Linked DNA regions of Arabidopsis thaliana. The protein of the gene in region 2 interacts with the protein of the main gene of each other region in a pairwise test. Each region holds a gene or a part of one and is shown on either strand. Other genes may lie near its edges. The genes, in order: AT3G57800, LBD25, AT5G24050 and WRKY43.

Region 1 (7,197 bases), about 11 Mb from region 2:
TTGCTTCTTCCTTTTGGGGGTTTGATATTAAATGCTTTTACAACTATATTTCCATTGACAATCTACCTTTATAATGATTATTAGCTAAACCAACTTACAAACAACGTTTTGACAACCATAATTGTTATGCACTTTTCAATAGTCTTAACTCTGCTTACGGATGTCGTTTGCTCAGCAATTTGGGAAATGGGAATAACTCATATAAAGAGATATGTGTGTTGTTGTGTGGATCCCATGCATGTCAGGTTTGTAACAGCTGTCGAATAATGCAAGCTACATAGAAAAATAAAACATTTTCATTAAAACACAAAAAGAAGAAGGTTAGAGAGAGCTATTCATTTATTCATCGAAACATTTTAATATGGGAAGAAGGGAATTCCCACACCACTCCACTACGAAGAGAGGCTTCTTGGGCCAGTGTCACGTGATTAACACGCGGATCCAGACCCACTCATATATAAACGAATTATCTATAATATTTTCTAAACATATTTCTTTATTCATCGCACATTTTTTTTTTTCATGCTTCACGTATACATCCGAAAAATCTTTGTGGTCTCGCCCATATCTATCCTTTTAAATCCATCATGATCCCAATGTGATACGTTAATAAGACCATCTGCAATGGTTGTCTCTATTTTTTTTTTGTAAATATAGAAGAGAAAATAGAGATTTCTATTTTTACTCCAATAATTCTTCAAAAATAGAAATCTCTATTTGTTAGAAAGAAAAATAGGGGAAAAAAATAGAGATCCATATTTTTGTTTCTATATATAGAGAAAAAAATAGAGATCTCTATAATGGAAGTGAGAATAGAGATGAGTTGGAGTGTAATAAAAGCAAAAATAGAGTGTAGAGACAAAAATAGAGATGTGTTGGAGATGCCGTAAGTATTGTGAAGATAATCCTCACAGCTTTCTCAGCAATAAAAGAAAATATATCTCTTTAATTTTTTATAAAGGTTTTATGTGTGAATATTAAAAACTTTAGTCTCATATGAGTTCGAGACTGTGCTCGGGAACAAATTTTATAAAGATAAATCATCTAAAATTGAACTGCGTTTATAATGGCAAAGACTTTGCATAATTAGAATGTTTCTTATTGATAAAGACTTTGCATGTTTCATACTCATTTTGACATCTAATTGAATAAAAACAGAAAAGAGCCGTATAGCTTCAAAATCTTTATATTTAGAATAAAGTGTATATATGTGAAAGAGTAACACATATGTACGTAGGAATTAGGTTGGTTAAAGAATTGGCCACATCAATATCTGAGACACCAAAGAAGTAATGGACGTTGGGAGAGTAAGTAACGTTGCCAAATTGGAAATGCCAAAAAAAGATTGTACCTTTCCTCTCTTTGATTGAGACTTTACTACTACACCAAACCTTACATCACCAATCGCTGAAAGTGAAACCGATATTTTAGCACATTTATATTCCACTTCTACACCTTTTTACTAAATTTCAGTTTTGAGATTTACTTACATGAAGAAGAAATTGGCTAATCAAAATAATCAAGCAACGATGATTTGTTGCAATGAAATGGAAATTGGGATTTGGGCTCAGATTATTAGAGCATAAGTGGATTTCCTGTTCGGCCCATTGTGTGAAACAGGTTATTCCACTGGACCCATCTGTTCATCTTTGTCCTCAAATTTTCCTCTCTATCCCCAAAACACCCTTTTAAAGAAGTAACATTAATTGTTTTTTTTTTTCCTTTTAATAAATTTATAAGATATTTTGAATTAATATTATTAGTACGTCTCAATTTTTATTTTATTTTTGCCTTTTATACTCTAAAGTTTTTAATACTTGATGAATTTTGAATATTTTTAAAAAATAAAAAAAATAAAATATTTTTAAAAAATTAATATTACGCTTGGTAGATTTCATCCAACGGCTGAGATAATTACTAAAATGGTGTTTTGAGCTCAATTATTTTTCCATATTAAAAAGTGTTTTTGGTTCTTGGTTATTTACAGGTCAACAAAATAATTTGACACCGGAATCGGAGTCCGTGGAAAGTCAGAAAACCTGATGTAACACCATTTATGGCATTAACTACTGATAATAATACTATACGAAAATCCAATTATTATACCGAGAAAAAAAGAAAAGTGGTCAGAGACAGCAGGCTGGTCCTGCTGAAGAATAAATCTAATCTACCGATTCGATTAAATAAATATGTGCCGTTTTCTGGTACGCCCTATTCAAATCATTTTTATATTATAGTATCAAAATACTTCAAAAATTTACTAATTACAAAATTAAGGAGTGATAAAAAAAGTTTATAATCAGAGATAAAAAGTCACCGGTTAAAGCCCAAAAGGCCCAAGTAATATCCATTGGGATCCAGCAAAATATATAACAAAAGAACCGTACCGTACCTACAATAACCAAAATTGGTTTTCTCTTTCTTTTGTCTAACAGTGGCCTTTATTTAACAGACGCACTCCACTGCTAACGTTGCTTTCGTCCTACTCTTCTTCTGGTGTAAAAGCTTTTCTTCCACACACATTTGAGAAAGAAGACGAAGAAGAAGAGAGAATAACTATTCCTTCTTCGCCAAGTTCTCTGAGCTATAGAAGAAGGAGGGATTTCTTCAGACCGCCATTGTTGCCCACCTTCTCTCCTTTCTATTTTTCGCCGCATTTTACTCGCTTACTGACAAAAGTCTTCTACTCAAGTCTCTCTCTCGCTCTCTTTGGAGGCTCAATTAGGGTTTTGTTGTCGTGAGATTTGATTACACAAATTGCTGAATTTGGTTTCGATTATTGGTGTTATTGTTTTCGAAGATTTCCAGTGAGTTTCCGTTTATGGATCTGACTGGAGGATTTGGAGCTAGATCCGGCGGTGTTGGACCGTGCCGGGAACCAATAGGCCTTGAATCGCTACATCTCGGTGACGAATTTCGGCAACTAGTGACGACTTTACCTCCCGAGAACCCCGGCGGTTCGTTCACGGCTTTGCTTGAGCTTCCACCTACACAAGCAGTGGAGCTTCTCCATTTCACTGATTCTTCGTCTTCTCAACAAGCGGCAGTGACAGGGATCGGTGGAGAGATTCCTCCGCCGCTTCACTCTTTCGGTGGGACATTGGCTTTTCCTTCTAACTCAGTTCTCATGGAGCGAGCAGCTCGTTTCTCGGTGATTGCCACTGAGCAACAAAACGGAAATATCTCCGGGGAGACTCCGACGAGCTCTGTACCTTCCAATTCAAGTGCTAATCTCGACAGAGTCAAGACGGAGCCTGCTGAGACCGATTCATCTCAGCGGTTGATTTCTGATTCAGCGATTGAGAATCAAATCCCTTGCCCTAACCAGAACAATCGAAATGGGAAGAGGAAAGATTTCGAAAAGAAGGTTAGAGTGAGAGACAAATGTTTTTACTTTTTTACATTTGATCCTTCGTTTCATCAGATTGATTTTTTATAGGGTAAAAGCTCGACGAAGAAGAACAAAAGCTCTGAAGAGAACGAGAAGCTGCCATATGTTCACGTTAGAGCTCGTCGTGGTCAAGCAACCGATAGCCATAGCTTAGCAGAACGAGTAACTTGCATCTGCCTTCACTAATTTTTCTTTTTTTTGGTATTAATCAGTTGATTAATTCGCTAATTGATCACTAATTTTTGGATTATAGGCAAGAAGAGAGAAGATAAATGCACGAATGAAGCTGTTACAGGAACTGGTCCCAGGCTGTGATAAGGTTTGTCTCTTAGATATAGACGTGTAATCAATTTGTTAATCAATCATTAGGTCTTCATTTGTGATTAACGACATTATATTTCTCTAATTGATTCACTCCAAAAGTAAGAATTTATTATTAGATGATCTAGTCTTTTTGTTAAGGGTCTTAATCCTTCACACCTACTTTTTTTTTTCTTCCTAAAAAGTGGATTGCTTAATTGCTTTTTTATTAAGAAAAGTGGTTCCTGGTGTGCCAAAGTAGCCAGTTGGGTAATTGTGTAGTAATGCCTTTAGAGATCTCAACTTTATTTTTTTATTTCGTGTGGGGAGAAATATCTCACGGGTACACACTTAGCTTTAAGGTTAACTCAGTCACACGGAAGTGATAGGACCTTGCTTTATCGAATTCTTTTTCCATAAGTGTGTTCGTTGAGCTTGAAGATTAGTCTATAAATGACGAGAATGACCTTAGGAAGTGTGCTAGCTGTAATATGCCATTAAGGTTTTGGGTTTAGGGGACAGATTTTGGTGGAAAGATCAAGATCAAAGTGTGTTTTGGGGTCCATCTTTTGATGATAAGTGGGAAAAAAGTTGCAATCTTTCTATGGAAGGTGAGGAAGGGGTAGTATCGTCTCTAACAAGTTCGGTATCTATCAAGGAAAAATAGAAAATGACTCTTAGAAGGACGATTAAAGCAAATGATCCTTTACAAAAATTGATATGCTTTGAGTCCCACATACCTAATTAGTTGGAAACATGATGTGACACTCCCCCAGACAGCTAATTAATCATCCCTGATGTTAGAAGTTAGCAGCAATTATTGGTGTGATAGAGATGATGATATGGAACATCAGTGTTTGTTTAAAATTTGGATTCTATAGGTGAGCTGTGAGGACTTGATTGATTGTTCCTTTAGCCCCCCTAGGGTATACTGATTACTTGTGATTGTAGTAGATACCATTTATTATAATAGCTTTAGATTAGCACGTCATTCTCTTGCTGCTTTTTTCACTGTGTATTTTGGAATCTTGGTATTTTCTCGTTGAAATATTGGATCATCTTAACAATAGTTAGCTGTCTAGAAAGAATTTTTGGTATGTGAAAGCAGATCTACCTAATATGAATCCGAGCTTATCAGAAAGTCTTTGACCTGCAGATTCAAGGTACCGCGCTGGTGCTGGATGAAATCATTAACCATGTCCAGTCATTACAACGTCAAGTGGAGGTGAGACTTTCCGTGGTCCAATTTTTGTTCTTTATACCTATATTTTACAATAGCCCTGGGCACAATAAAAGGGTCAACTCAAAACAATTTGAAAATGAATAGAATTATGTGCCGCAATCTCATGAAACTGTGACTTGTGTTTCCACAGATGCTATCAATGAGACTTGCTGCGGTAAACCCCAGAATCGACTTCAATCTCGACACCATATTGGCTTCAGAAGTAAGTATCAAAATCTCAAACAATAATTTGGTCATTCTGATTAGTCTTCTCTAGGAAAAATTTAACCATTTCATGTGTTTCTCATTTAAGTTAACCATACCTCTTTGAGTAGCTTCTAGTTTCTATCACAAAAGGAGAAACTTTTGGGGTATTTATTGATACAAACATTAATTTAGACCATTTTAGTGTAAGGCATAGGAAGATCACAACGTCTACTCTCATGAAGGAAACTCAGGGAAAAATAAATACACAACACACACACACACCCAATGCAAATAACAGTAGTGGGTCAAAACTCGGACCACCTTTGTTCTGTAAAACCTTTCTGTGTCTTCTGTGACTTATGTCGGATGTGTTACTTGATGAACCTTTTAAAAAAAAAGTTAATTCATCCCTCAATAATTTCTGTGGGTCTCTTCCAAAATCTTGTTATTTCAAAGTGACCTATCTAATTTCATGATCACCTGTGGATTCTCATCAAAAGTTTTGGACCAAACTAAATAAATGCTCCCTCTCTCTTTCTTCTTACAGCTTGTACCACCATTAAATAGCCAGGGACCCTCTCATCAAACCTTGTTCTTTTAGGATAATAATAACACAGCAACAACAGTTGACTTCTTTGACTAGATCAAGATCTCTATGAATGATCCCTTTGCTGATATCTTTTCCGGTTTTGGCTCTGTGTTTTTTTCTTTGACAGAACGGTTCTTTAATGGATGGGAGCTTCAATGCCGCACCAATGCAGCTTGCTTGGCCTCAGCAAGCCATTGAGACCGAACAGTCCTTTCATCACCGGCAACTGCAACAACCACCAACACAACAATGGCCTTTTGACGGCTTGAACCAGCCGGTATGGGGAAGAGAAGAGGATCAAGCTCATGGCAATGATAACAGCAATTTGATGGCAGTTTCTGAAAATGTAATGGTGGCTTCTGCTAATTTGCACCCAAATCAGGTCAAAATGGAGCTGTAAGTTGGGAAAACGGTAGAGATCATGAATGTGTATATACATCGTATAAGCTCGTTTCTCTCTATATAAATATAATCATAAATATAGATATCTGTTAAGAAGGTATCAGTCATTTGATTCAGAGAGACAACACTGGTATGATTGTTTCTTATTCTTGTACCAGATTTCGACAATGTAGAATTTAGTAGGATATGATCATTTTGATCTCGTTATATATATCTTACTAATAATAAATAGAGATAAAAAAATTCTATTTAGGGAAATAAATCAGTATCGATAAACAAAAACAGAAAGAAGAAGCAGGGGCATCCTTTGGATATTGGAGTTGCACGAAAAAGAAGAAGCAAAAACAAAATGCAACTATATGTTTAGATTGTTTGAGCTGGACCAAGTGAAAATGCACCTCTTGAATTATGGTTTAGGTTAGGTAACAAAAAACCCTAAATTGACTCATTCGATAAGAACAGAGATGCAATCATAAATATGAGTGCAAAGCACGTTACCGGAAGCTGTGATGGCCTTGTTTGCGTCTACCGTATAGAAAGATTGATGTGTATCATCAATCCCGCCACTAGATGGTATCGATCTCTTCCTCAGCCTAAGATTCAACAAATTAACCGCCTTAGACGAAATCTACACGAGAGAAAGTTTCACTTTTTAATTCTTTTGCTTAATCAATTTGCTTAATCAATTTGCTCATATATGTTTACTTAAATTTTTGATGTTTTTGTAGTATTATTTCACTATTATTGTGCCTAATTAATTGTTTTTGTTTTTACAAACTCTCTCATAGCTTATTATTCTGCATCAAACTATCCAGGATTCGGTAAAGACACTACGATCCTCATAGAAGAGATCTGGAATTCTAGTTTCAGTTGTTTATCAATTCCAATAAAGTCTACACACATAGACATAGGATAAGATTATTATTAAGACCTTTAAAAAAAAATGATGGGAAGCATATTATTGTTACTATTATTCTTTTCTCTGGTCCAATCACGTTCAGACACGTCATATTCAAAAATTCAACTTCCCGGCGATTCTCTGACCCTCTCCGTTACCGATTTCGGTGCTACCGGCGATGGTATCAA
Region 2 (5,568 bases):
TGGTATTTCTTTGGGCAATTTTGTAACCAATAAATAGAGTGGTACAAAAAAAAACGACATAACAGTAAAAATAACGAAATAATTTCAAAAAATAAGTGGTAAAAAGTAGTACTAGTACAAAAGTAATAGTGTTACTGGTTTTGGCATCACTAATTTTTATTATTAACAATAAAATGATTAGGATAAAACAATCGGGTTATATATGAGTTTTGTTTAGTTATTTGCTACTTGACTTGTATTTAAAAGTATATAAATTATATTAATTATTACTTGTATCGACAAGGATATAGACTTGTTTTTCAAAACAGATATGAGGCAAATAATGGATACAGGATCGAGTAACAAATAATCGTGCTTAGCCCTACCCGAAACTATACCGTATCTTAAGATACATGAATAATTGAGCTTTTGGTTTAACTTATTATTAGGGTATCATCATACTCAATCTTAAAAAACTATAAGCAATCTTACTCATCAAAAAGAAAAGTTCCATTTGTTATTTTCTTCTTTTGACAAGATTAGTTGATTTGTATGTAAATATATGTGGTTGTTAGTTCGCCCCAAATGACATAAAATTATAAAAGGACCGACTTTAAAAAGAGATTCCCTATGAAGACATGTGCCTAAATTAAAGCTACAAAATTTTGGTGTTTCTAAATTGATTAATTTATTTAAACTTTTTTCAAGTCGACAAATATATAAAATCACTCAATTAACTTAAAATATTAGCAACTTTGTGTTTCTGACCAGTGACTAGTGTGTGTAATCAAACAACCAATTATTAGCCTACATTCCTATGAGTCTATACAAAACCGTCGACATGAAATTTTATTCTTTTGAATATCATAATACAATAGTAATATTGCAATCACAATTCGTTGAATGCAACTTTATAAAATGCTAGAAAATCTGTCATTAATCAATGAAATATGTGTACATACATAATTTAGAACATAAATCTTTTAGCAGAAACTAAAAAACTTGTGAATAATGACCAATGGGCCACATGTAAATCAGTGGAGCTAGATCAAGTTAAAGAGAGTTATGGAGATATGAGCATGAGCAAGATCTAGTTATTCAACATCATCAAAAATATTCCTTGACCTCTCCCATGAAAAAAAAATTACAAGTTAAATTACACATACGCATAAGTATATACATGAAAATAAACATAAATATACATGCATGCATGTCCCCATATTTACACATATATACATACGACTAATAACACTTACCATCACATCAACCATCCTCTCTCTCTTTATACTTCTCCGCCGCTAATTTTCTCAAAGAGTGATGATGACTAATCAACTCTCGTTGACCAGTCAACCCCTCCGACCACCATAAGCCGACGTCGTTTCACCACCGAGACAACCAGCGTACCTCATGAGATCAGCATTTGTCTCCTCGAGTTCCCTTTGCAACCTCAAGACCTGTCTTTGGAGCACCGAGATCGCTCCAACGCAGCCATACACTGGATCTTTAAGTCGTGCTTCCGCCTCGTAAGCCAGCGAGTTGACCGCATCTTCCCGCTGATGGGGAGCCACTTCGTGGAGGATCTTGCTCACATTGCTTGCCCCGAATATCCGGTGGACGTTCGCAAACTTTGTAGGTTCCTCCGGCGGAAAATAGGGTGCGAATACGCAGTCTGACGTGCATTTACGCCGGAGGAATTTGCATGCTGCACACGGTGAGTTTGTGTAGTTCGACATATATATCCCCTGATTTTTCAGTTGCAAAAAAATGGCAAAAACGATTTAATCACATCATAGTATCTTATTAGTAATTCTCGAAACTACAGTATAAGATTGATATGAATTTTGATCCATATCGATCGATATTGTAATTCTCTGGAGTCTCTTCTTCTTCTATATACATCAATTATCAATATCTTATCAACAATATGTCTACGTACACTTTTTAAAAATTGATACAGTTTCAAATGTTTTATTTCCATTTTGAATTTGGTAACTAGCAAAGTAGCAATAAAATGGTATCATCATCAATACAATATAACTTACAAGACGTATGATGTTCTTAGTCTTTTAATCCTCAAAATTCATTATATTCTACGTAAAATGGTAACTAGAAATAATAGTCTCATCATCAATATAACTTAGAAGACGTATGATGCATGTTCCTATCTTATTATCCTTAAAATTCATTATTCATAGTGTTCTTTCTGCGTCAAAAAGATGTTATACCACCTAAATTTATATTTCAAATATATCTCAAACAAATATATACATCCTTGTCTAATGAATTAATTTTACATAATTATAAAATCTTGGGAAATTGAGAATAATCCATACTAAAAAGTTATTGGTGAATCTAACACACAAGACGATTATGGGAAATTATATAAACTTGTGTAACATTACACATTAAAATGTAAACGTCCATATGATATTCATAGTAATATGAAGAAAATGGGTGTCGGAAATTCGAATTACTCACACAGGTTTTACGTTTTAGAGCTAGTATTAGTTCTAAACAAACAAACAACATGTTCTCATCAAAGCACTCTCTGTCTCTCTGACTCTGAGTTCCCCACATGTACTACATATTAGTTTGAATCTTGAATTTATGACCGAGTTTTATTACCTGCTATATAGGATACTTTCACTGTATATTAGAAGTCCCGAATTCCTGATTTCACTTTCAATTGTAACTTCTTCTTTCTTTTGTAAAGAAAAAAGGTCGTCCAAATTATAACTTGGTAGTTCAAGACCAGTGATCAAATTTTCATGATCTAAACTCTCTAAATTTATATAATCAATCAACATATATAGAAAGTATATATATTATGCAAGTGTGAGTGAATTGGCTGTACAGAATGAAAAACTCTTGGTCTTACCTTTAAATGGATCGCAACAAGAAAAGGTCCTTCCTTGATAACTTCTTGAGAAGGTTTGATCTTCTTTGTTTCTCTCTTGGGCATTAATTATAAGAAAGGAGAATGAAAAATCTTCAAGTAGATTTTGCAATTATTGGGATATTTTTGTTGTTTTCAGAGAGGAAACCCTAGTTTGAGAGAAAGAGGAATCTCTCTAAGGGGAAAGTTAGAGAGATAAAGAGGAGACATGGGTTGGATATAGAGAGAGAGGGGCAAAAGGCATTTTTGGTGCGATGAGAAAGAGAAAGAAGATGAATATAATGAGATTACAAAAAGACAAATTGGCCTCAATTAATTGAGGACCTAAAATAGTGAACTTAAGAAAGAATAACTCTGACCGTGGCAAATTTTACTCCATTCAATTGCTTTTAGTAAATAACTAAATATACAACATATTTTCTATCTTATTTTTAATTTTGACAGCATAACGTATTTTCTATTAAATTTTAAAAAACTAATTTATAATTTTTGTCAACTAATTTATTAAAAAGAAAAAAATTAAACGAGCCATTAGTATATAATATTGTTTATATATGTGATATGATACGGTTCAGTAAGTATGTAAAATATAAAAGCGATAATTTGTCATGAAAAAATACTCTTTTATTATGTAACTTAAGAATATATGAGATAATTTAACAATGAAAGAAAATCAAATGATAGTAAACCAATACTTTCATGTATTTAAATTAAGGTACAGCCATATACCCTCAGGAGTCCGAACCATTTTATAAAGAAACTAATGATAAACCTTAATTAGTAAGCTATTAGTATTATTTATTTAAAACTAATGATAAACCTTAATTAGTAAGCTATTAGTATTATTTATTTACCTTTGACCTTTCCACGTTTTATTATTCCGTAAAAAAAAAATGTTTGTGAAGTCTTTGGACCACTTAAATATATTGTTTAAACTAAATTTCAGAAAGTTTTGGGATACAAACTTACAAGAACATCAGAACTATTGAGGATCTGAGCAAATCCGACATGTGTACTGTCATTTTGCTTGATTGAATTTAACTGTTAACGTCTTGATTTTACTGTTTACATTTCTGAAAAATAGTTATTAACTTTTACGTTCTTTTAATTAGTTGATGTGTTCATTCAAAAAATTTGACATACCCTGATGGTTGAGCCACATGCTTGAATCCAAAAAAAAAAAAAAGTTTCTATAGTGCATAACAAAGAAAAGAAAAAACTGTAATCAATTTCTATTTAAAATTATACCGTCATTTTCAACGAATATAGATACCATTCACAAAAAAGGTTGTTGTTTGTTGGATAACTCTTGTGGTTGTATTATAGATCTTATATTTCCTATAATTAAAATATTTAGCGACTTAGCATAGTATTGGTCAGCTACAACTTTAATCATCCAACGAAATTAAGACCTAAAAGATATACCAAACAAAGTAGTTGATATATAATTATATATCCTTTCTAATCCAAGTGCACTTACAAAATTAAAATGATATATATAAGTGATGATGATACCAAGGCATTATTGTTTCCATAAACATATATATGCTTCATATTCCATATAAGTGCAATATTTGGTAGCAAGTGCGTATATAGATTATACCAATGATTAGATAAGATAATCAATCATTGGCAAGCATTATTTTACGTATTTCTTGTAACGATACTTTACGTATTTCCTGATTAGATTTCAGTGTATACAGATATGCTTCATATAGTATGTGTACAAAGAAAGTATAAAAATAATAGAAAATTGAAAGAAAAAGTGAAGAAAATATGAAAAGAGAAGGACCAATTCAGATCGGAAAAGAAGAAGCACTTGAATACGCATGCATACAAATATCCCTATACGGCTATACATAAATATATAAGATCAGGCCTGGCGAATGAAAATGTATGTCTCTTATCGTGTATATAAAATAAGCTAATGTGGGTCGACCAAAAAAAGCCAAGACGTCCAAGAAACGAAGAAGCCAAGATAGTGTGTGTGCTAATTAATTATGTATCCATTTTAGAAGAATTCATGTATATGCATAATGCATCATGTATGTATCATGCATGCACCTAGAAGTCCTATAACTAGAAGTCGGTATACTTTAATTATCAATTGGACAATTGGGATAACAAAACCTGGTAAGTTCTCTATATACATATATAAACTTTATAAATAAATAAATAAATGGTTTAAATGTAAGTATAGCGTATACGAATAATGAAAATTAAAAGTGATGTTATACGTTAAATTTTTCGAACTAAAAATTTTCGATAATTATTTTGAAAGGAAATTTGACAATAGCTTAAATCCTAGAGAAAATTGCATGGTTGTTACAACAAAATTTATACAGGATATGATCGATTAACTAACGAATGAATCCTATTAATTGCGATTACTTTTGAGATTAATTTATACCTAGCTTGATCTCAAGTTTGTATCAACCCATAAAACCAAATGTACTTTTGTGATTTAGTTATCATAGGTTGGGGTTTTGTGGATTGGTTGTTGACGAAATGTATAATACAGAAAAATGTCGACGGAATGATTGCAAGTCAAGTGTGATATGTCCTCAACAATCATTACATAAGCACAATTATTTGATCAAAATTTATTTAGAAATAATGCACCTCTTCTCTTCTTTTGTTTTTGGCTACACACCTCCTTTCATTTCACCAAAAAAACACACACACCCTTTCTT
Region 3 (4,356 bases), on a different chromosome or scaffold from region 2:
TCAAAATCCGAAAATAACCAACACTTGATTGGTGTATTTTAAATAATCTATATGGATTTTTTTTTTTAATATGGATTTTCGAAACTATAATTCACCTAGGATTTGTATTTTTGTATTGTAGTTTCAGAATTTCTACATTAATCATAAACTGACAAGATCCTAGACAAGAAAACGAGATCTTATAGATGTGCGGAAGCGAAACGTTGTGTTTGCTATTAAGGCTGAGAAAATCGAGCTAATCAACGTCCAAGTACGGTGTACTTATTCAAGTGGCTGAAGAAGCAATTGTAGCAAAACCTGTCTTGGCAACAAATTTGGTTCCTGATTTGATCATTTTGCTCTTCATACTTGAGTTTCAAAATCAGATTCTTACTGAGTAGAACAAAACACAGGTTTTGATTGTATCGAGCATTTCTAATGAATGTATTAAAAACACTTTTATTGATTGGATCAATTTCATTAGACAAAATAAGACTTGGAGATATATTACAAGGAATCGAAAGGTAACAATGCAGTAACTAAAGTAGACCAAACAACAAACAAGATTCATGTCAAAAATGCTAAGTTTTCATACTATAGTACATACGGTTATAATGATCTGAAACAATATATGGAACAAGTTACTAATAAGGAACACTAATTTTCTTAATCAAACTCTTAGACAAAAAAGAAGTCCAGAATCTCCTGAAATTAGATCGCTGTGCGTGTTGATCAATCAAGTTATAGTCTCAACCGACACAAGAAACTTAGCAGAGACAGAGAGCAAGGGAAGAGCTACTCTGTTCCATGGCAAAGCAGAGGATTCCACAGCACCTAAACGACCAAAGAGTAATGTTGTCGCCTTCTTTCAATCTGTTAGCCTCAACGATGTCGTTCCACCCACAAATCAAATTGTAACTCCAGCTTCCTTTACCTGATTCCTTCTTCATCTCCCATCTCTTTAACATCACACCCCACTTTTTACACCGTTGATCCACGAGAATCGCTCCCACTCCAATCTTGTTATTGTTGTTGATGTCTTCGTTTATGATTATGGACTCCACAGACGTCAGGAAATCGTTTCGGAGTAAGTTGTTGAAAGGCATTGAGAGACGGTTCTTTGTTGGGTTTACATCAGTCACGAACAGAGTCTTCTCAAAGATCAATTTAGCGTCTTTGGCTTCTTTCATGTTTGTCATCACCTTGACAAGCCACTCAGGTGTCTCTCTCGCCGTTTGTGAAAAAGGAGCAACATTTGCTTTCTTGACTCCACCACTACGCTTCCTTTGTTCCACAGCACGTCTCTTGCGGCTTGTGTTCTCCATTAGGCACAAAGACATAGTACATGGGAAATTAGGGTTTGGTGGGTCTTTCGTCTCCGTCTTTTGGTACTCAGCCGTCTTGTGACCAAAGAGTCCGAGTGAAGAACAAGGTTCTGAACTAGGGTTTTGTAATGTTTTTGTCTCGGAATTAGCGGCAATGAAACATGAAGAGGATAGCCCTTGAAGATGGTTTTGTGGGTCTTCGATCTCAGAATCGGTAGGGAACTGGTTAAGATCGATAAGCGATGAAGAAGTAGAAACCCTAATAAGATTTTGTTGTCTCTTCACCAAAGACGATCTTGTTTTTCTCGGGAAGAGACAAAAGATTCTCTTCTGGAATTCTTCTTCTTCTTCAGAGACAATCTTACGACGTTGTTCTTCTTCTTCTTCTTCATATAACATAACCGCCGCATCAACCAGTACACAGAAATTCGACCACAGGTCTTTACCTGAAGCCGTGAGATGATCGTCATCATCGTGATAGATACTAGTCATTGTGAATTTTTGATAGAATCGAAAACTCAAGTTCTTCTGAGAGCAAATCGTGAGACACAAGGAAATTAGAGAATCTGAGAGAAACTGAGAATGAGAGAGTCTCTATTGCATTATATAATAATACTTGCGCTCTCTGCTTACATCAAATTTAGGGTTTCCTTTTTTCTTTGAGTTTAGTTGTTTAATTACTGTGATTAGTAACTAATTAGCCGTTGTCTGATTTTATTTTCGTTAATAGCTAACCTTATAATTACGATATAGTCCTTGTCTCGGTATTTCCTTTTTCTAGGTGTGTGAGAGTCTCTCATTCTCACTTTATGAATACAAATGTAATTAAACAACTAAACTAAGATACAATCTTTTGAAGTGGGTTTTATGAATGTAAAAAAGTTATTAGTGACAAAATACAAAAATAAGAGTTACGATAAAGAGATGAGATTTATGTAAAACTATTTGGACAGATCATATATTTATGTATAAATTGGGATAAATTTCAATGCTCTCTTAACCCAGAGACTTGAAGAATTAATAAGGTCTTCTGTATAAATTGTATAAACTATATTAACCCAGAGACTTGAAGAATTAATAAGTCTATTAACCCTTAGACTTGAAGATCATATATTTATGTATAAACAGTGTCAAGAATTAATTGGAAAACAATGAAACAACATGAGACCCCCCCCCCCCCCCCCCACACACACACACACACACCAATCTCCAATAAGCCAACCTTGAAATTGCTTGTCTGACCACAAACGATCTTTAACGTTAGCAGGAGTGTTAGTTCATGTCTGACTGGTGAGGGCACTTTCATTGATACACGAGAAATTGCAGTTTGAATATGTTTCTTGTAGCTACATTATTAAGACTCTAAGATTCCTTTTGATTCGTTTGTTTTGGTTTCTGCGGCTTGGAAGGTGTAGAAGCGAATAATAATTCTCTCAACTGTCCCTCAGCGTTGTGTTCTGATGTTGCCTGCAACACAGAGTTATCAGGCCGCATTAATCTAAGTGATATCGTATGTATTATCATTGTTCACTAATCAGAGTCTAAGAAGATAGAAAACGAAAATCGACATACCCTTATCGAGAATGCAAACCGTAATGTCTCAATTTGCATTCCTGAGCAAATCCTAAGGTCGAAACCAAGTGAATCTATCCCAATGAGCTTCACTTCCTACATTGTAACACCATATGGATATAATCATGATTGTCACAGTATAGTCGTGAAAGCTATACAACAACTTCGTTTTGAAATTCCAGTAATGTAACGTAAAGTTCCAGTTTCTTTACCTCTGCTTGAATCCCATTATTTCTCCAACACAGAGATCTGAGAGCTTCAGTTAGTTTATCGCCATCTTCTTCTAGACGAGTCAGTATACCATCTGATGCACAAGCAATAACATCAGGTTGTGCTTTCCTGACGTCTTCCACTTCCACTTCAGTCTGTTCAAAAGCAAAAATACACAACCAACCAAATGCATGAGCTAAAACTTCCATAGAGCCTTTTAAAGAGTATATATTAAAAAGGGAGAGGCTTTATCGTAACCTGATGCCCCTGTGCCGTGATGAGCTGGATTCTTATTATCTCCAGCTTGTAGTACTGTATAGCATTTCTCGAATTTTCAACATGCAATATCTCAGATTCATTCTCACCAATGCCTTCAAATATCTCTTCTGAGTTTTCTCTCTCCTTGTTTTTGTCAGTGCCTGTAGATATACAACCAGAGATATGTTTTTGGATATCTGAGTGATCTTCCACAATGACAGGACTCAAGAGCCCTTGGATAGCAAGGCCAGCGGACGGCTGATCCATCCAATTTACAGGATCAGTTGAAGCAACCTAAATTTCAATAAAGAAACTAAGTTTTATAGTCTTCACATGGTGGATATTTGATAAATCACAAATCAATTTTTGGACTGCAAGTAACCTCGGCCATCCTCCTGGCAAAATACATAGGATGGCAATATCGCATCGTTTCCAAGTTTGCCCAGTCTCCAAGTGATTCATCAGAGTCTGAGACATAGTTATCCTCGTCATCTCCATCTTCTAGAACAGCAACCCATTCCTGGAGTCAAGAACACAGTATATTGTGAAGCATGCTAAGCATAAGACAGGTTTTTTCCATGTGAAGTTCCTCAATAAGACCACGAAAGCTTTTCAAACCTCGTCATCTTTGTCTTCTCCTTCATCCTCATCGCCCTTGTTTTCATCCTCAACTTCACTTTCACCATCTTCGATTTCTTCAATCCCAAAACCAATACCAGATGGACTGCTCAGCTCCATGTCCTTGATCATCTCCATCGTATCAAAACCTACTATTACTTGCTGCATTGCAAATGTCACTTATCACAGTTATATCTCCATACAAGTGAATAGAGAAAAGAACAAAAGCAACTGTAAAGAAAACACCATGCAGCAGAATCATTTAAACTAAAGAAAAACATATAGACATATACACAAGGATATAAAATAAAGCAGTGGCACCAACCTATATGACTACTATTGAAGCATGCTTATGCACGTTTAGATTCAGAAGATTGGAAAATTAGCAAAAAAA
Region 4 (3,988 bases), on a different chromosome or scaffold from region 2:
TTTTGGTGTTGTTTCTTCAAAGGATCAGATCTCTCTTTGTCTCTCTCTCTCTTTTCTAAAGTTTATGGCGCTGTCGGTTCTATATATTTTGGTACCTCTTTTAAGGATGATAAATACCTTAATTGCCGGAGCGTGACATTTTTGATTTTTCTTTGGTTGTTGGAAAAGGAATAATATAATAATTTTTCCATCATTAGAAAAGGAATAAGATCCTTTTTTTAGAGCATCATGGTCATAACGTGCGTTCTTACTTCTTTGCTCGTCCGAAAAAAAGATGAAACATGTTTATTATAGAATATACTACAATTATATTTTGTATATTATGACTTTTAAATTAGCAATATGTTTTAACTTTTAAGCAATATCCTAAAAAATTAATTATTAGTTGTTTTACTATTATGACCAATTATTTTTAATAGATTTTAACATTATCAAAACTTAAACTTTAAAGATATTTAACAACTACATGTTGAGTAGTACTACTTTCTAAACATTAATTTTTGGTAAATAATCCCAAGAAGATGAAAATATAAGAGATTATTTTATCTTCCTAAAATTAGTCAAAACATATATATTTTATAATTTTAAAGATTATTTGAGATTTAGAGGTATACATACTTACCTTCCCATTGATTGCATTTGCTTAAGTTGAAAAGTGGATTTATATATGGAAGAAGAAAAAAAATATGAAAATGTAGTTTTTTTGTTTCTTCTTTTAATTCGGCAATCCATATTTATTAGTACACTTTGTGGCTTCAACTTCGCCAAGACTTGTTCGCTTCTTATTTTCGGTGACTATTTAAGGATGCTGATCAAAACTTGAAAGCAATTCATGTAATATATCGGAACTGACTTCGTACATGTGACATGTCTCATTGACATTGTTCATCGTGTAAATAAACAAAACAATAATCACTCACGATAAGCCAATAGGTTTATTCAAACGAAAGGAAACTGATTTGGCTTGAGAAAAATCTATGGAAACCAAATCCGGTTTTATTCAGTTTACCAGACGATATTGCTCTATGCCTCTCTATAATCATCACGTGGTAATCGTTTTACCGGAATATTACAATTGATTTGTTTTTTTATTTTGGTTATATGCTTAAAACTGATTTATAATCAAAACGAGATTGCAACTATGAACATGCAAACATATATGATTACAATGCTTTAATTTGCTCCGTTATATGAACCATGGAACATTAGACCATCTCCACCAGTAAAAATAAAGAAAGTTTCTCAAAAACATATTAATTAATATTTTAATCAAAACAGATACATTAATTATTATTTAATAGTTGAACTAATAGTGTGATTACACCTGTCCAATCATCCGAGAAATTTAACTCTCCTTCTCTCCTACTTTTTCTCCCTTCTCTCATATTTTTTTTTTAATTTTTTTTCTTTTGTTAGGTATCTCATTGAGATACTTCCATTGGAGATGCTCTTAGAACGTTAATATATATACAAACATAATTAGGTGAACTTAGAGAGGAACTGCAATTGATGAAGAAGAGGAGTTAGGGTTTGCATGAGCTCCTCACAAGGATGGTTATGGATTCCTTCATAAGTTGTCTCCACAATGCTCGTCTCCTTCGACAGCCTCTGAACTTGCTTCTTCACGTTACACATGTGTTGTGTGCATCTATAATAGCTCCTTTTGATGATCATAAGTGAGAAGAAACACACAAAAAAACAATCTTTTTAAAAACAATTTCAGATTATTTATGTTAAAAAGTTTACCTGGGATACAAGCTGTTCTTGACGGATTTCTGACCGTACTTTCTCCATCGATAACCATCATCGAGAATATCTGCATCACTCTTTGTGCGAAACGAAAATCGCGGATTTTTCATCTTCTTATCTCGAGAAGAGTCGACGAGGCCATTCATTAATGAAGAGGAGATATGATGAATCAACGAATTGTGTGTTAGAATTCTTCGTGTGATTTATATTGAAGAGATATATAAAAAGGTTTAGAAGCCAACTACATTCAACTACTTCAGACCAACAACAACAAAAAATTCCTTCACGTCATCTCACACGTGTGTGACTTAAAAAACAGAGACATGGTTTGGTCTTTACTTGAACTCCTGGAAACTGTAAACAGTAGAATCCGGTTTTGGTATCACAATGCGCAATCTCATAAAAAAGAACCGAAGCTACGATCTTAAAGGAGCTCGTGCAGAACCCTCGGATGCTCTCCAACTCCAAGAGAGTTCCAACTAGTAACCGCGATCTCAATCTCTACATTTCTCTATCTAAACCCAGAAACGGAAAAATAAAAAAGGAATCGCCTTTGGAACAGAAGTTCAATAAGATCGAAACAGAGACTGGGTTAGGCTAGAGCCTAGAGAGAAACAGAGACTGGGTTAACATAACCAGACTGAACCAAAATCCGGTTTAATATAGTAAAGATATTTTAAAACTATCTCCGTTGCCGGGACTCGAACCCGGGTCTCTCGGGTGAGAGCCGAGTATCCTGACCAGCTAGACTACAACGGATCTTGTTGATTTCGTTAAAATATTGAATTTATAGTTAAGCTATCACAATTCCTAACAGTGTCATTGCTATGCTTGATTTGTGTGTGAAACCCAGAACTGAATCGCCACTTGCCAGAATCTAAACAGCGTCCTCACTCACTAGGAATTGAATCTTCTTAAAAGTAAAATTCCTTGTTCTTGTAAACACAGACACAGTCACAGATAAGAGGGTTTCTTCATCTTCACAACAATGGCGTCCTCACTCACTAGGAATTGCTCTCGCTTCTCAAAAGCCATCTCTGTCCGTTTCATGAGTAACCTACCGGAAAACACCGTCTACGGAGGACCAAAGCCACAAAACCCAAACCAAAGAGTGACGCTAACGCATCTCAGACAAAAACACCGGAGAGGAGAACCGATCACCGTCGTAACTGCCTACGATTACCCATCCGCCGTTCATTTAGACACAGCTGGTATCGATGTTTGTCTTGTCGGTGACTCAGCTTCCATGGTTGTTCATGGTCACGACACAACACTTCCTATCTCCTTAGACGAGATGCTTGTTCATTGTCGTGCCGTTGCTCGAGGCGCTAAACGACCTCTCCTAGTTGGTGACTTGCCATTTGGTACCTACGAGTCAAGCTCTAGTCAGGTAATGTTATAAAATTGAATCTTTTTTTCTTCTAGATACCTAAATTAAACATATTTGTTGATAAGGCATGTTCTTCTGCTTAATTTTTGTGTAGGTAATTAGATTCTTGATTGCAATTTCAATACCTGAATTAATCACAACACTCAGTGGGACTTACAATGTTCAATTCATTTCCTGATCAAATGTTTAGGTGATTGGATTCTTGATAAAAAAAGTCTTAAATGATACATTATGTGTCAATGTGTCATTGCCTGTGTAATCACAGATTTAGCTTTAGTACTTGCTTATGCAAAGTAGATTCTTTACAAGATTTTGTGTCAATGAAACAAATTAGGGACCTGATTTTGGGTTTAAATGTTGGCTTCAGGCGGTTGATACTGCGGTTAGGGTTTTGAAGGAAGGAGGAATGGATGCGATTAAGCTCGAAGGAGGATCAGCTTCTAGGATCACTGCTGCAAAAGCTATAGTTGAAGCAGGAATTGCGGTTATTGGTCATGTGGGTCTAACCCCTCAGGCGATTAGCGTTCTTGGTGGTTTCAGACCCCAAGGCAGAAACATAGCTAGTGCTGTTAAAGTTGTTGAGACTGCAATGGCTTTACAAGAAGCTGGATGTTTTTCGGTTGTTTTGGAATGCGTTCCACCTCCTGTAGCTGCTGCTGCAACTTCTGCCCTCAAGATACCAACCATTGGCATTGGGGCTGGACCTTTCTGCAGTGGACAGGTTTTATTTGAAAAGTTTCGTTCTTTCCGGTTTTGTGTGTAGCCAAGAGACAAATTTGCATTTCTCATACCTGTTAATTGTTTTCTTGGAAATGCAGGTGCTAGTTTACCATGATCTTCTTGGTATGA

Evidence for each region.
Region 1: the proteins of LBD25 (region 2) and AT3G57800 interact in a two-hybrid assay, tested with the Arabidopsis thaliana proteins (one large-scale study listed by BioGRID).
Region 3: the proteins of LBD25 (region 2) and AT5G24050 interact in a two-hybrid assay, tested with the Arabidopsis thaliana proteins (one large-scale study listed by BioGRID).
Region 4: the proteins of LBD25 (region 2) and WRKY43 interact in a two-hybrid assay, tested with the Arabidopsis thaliana proteins (one large-scale study listed by BioGRID).

What each region holds. Positions count from the first base shown.
Region 1 is NC_003074.8:21,406,946-21,414,142, reverse strand, and holds AT3G57800 (basic helix-loop-helix (bHLH) DNA-binding superfamily protein), read left to right. Parts: upstream 1-2,530; 5' UTR 2,531-2,821; coding exon 2,822-3,367; intron 3,368-3,439; coding exon 3,440-3,553; intron 3,554-3,644; coding exon 3,645-3,710; intron 3,711-4,206; coding exon 4,207-4,302; intron 4,303-4,572; coding exon 4,573-4,617; intron 4,618-4,847; coding exon 4,848-4,916; intron 4,917-5,064; coding exon 5,065-5,136; intron 5,137-5,547; exon of another isoform or gene 5,548-5,742; intron 5,743-5,836; coding exon 5,837-6,109; 3' UTR 6,110-6,354; downstream 6,355-7,197. Other genes in the region: AT3G57790 (Pectin lyase-like superfamily protein), read left to right, coding at 7,055-7,197.
Region 2 is NC_003074.8:10,236,104-10,241,671, reverse strand, and holds LBD25 (LOB domain-containing protein 25), read right to left. Parts: upstream 3,159-5,568; 5' UTR 2,942-3,158; coding exon 2,858-2,941; intron 1,722-2,857; coding exon 1,326-1,721; 3' UTR 1,024-1,325; downstream 1-1,023.
Region 3 is NC_003076.8:8,127,607-8,131,962, forward strand, and holds AT5G24050 (plant-specific B3-DNA-binding domain protein (DUF313)), read right to left. Parts: upstream 1,797-4,356; coding exon 747-1,796; downstream 1-746. Other genes in the region: AT5G24060 (Pentatricopeptide repeat (PPR) superfamily protein), read right to left, coding at 2,667-2,771, 2,877-2,972, 3,089-3,241, 3,345-3,638, 3,727-3,864, 3,963-4,124.
Region 4 is NC_003071.7:18,955,161-18,959,148, reverse strand, and holds WRKY43 (WRKY DNA-binding protein 43), read right to left. Parts: upstream 1,938-3,988; 5' UTR 1,896-1,937; coding exon 1,747-1,895; intron 1,661-1,746; coding exon 1,480-1,660; 3' UTR 1,224-1,479; downstream 1-1,223. Other genes in the region: KPHMT1 (ketopantoate hydroxymethyltransferase 1), read left to right, coding at 2,738-3,139, 3,507-3,860, 3,958-3,988. UniProt on the Arabidopsis thaliana protein: Transcription factor. Interacts specifically with the W box (5'-(T)TGAC[CT]-3'), a frequently occurring elicitor-responsive cis-acting element.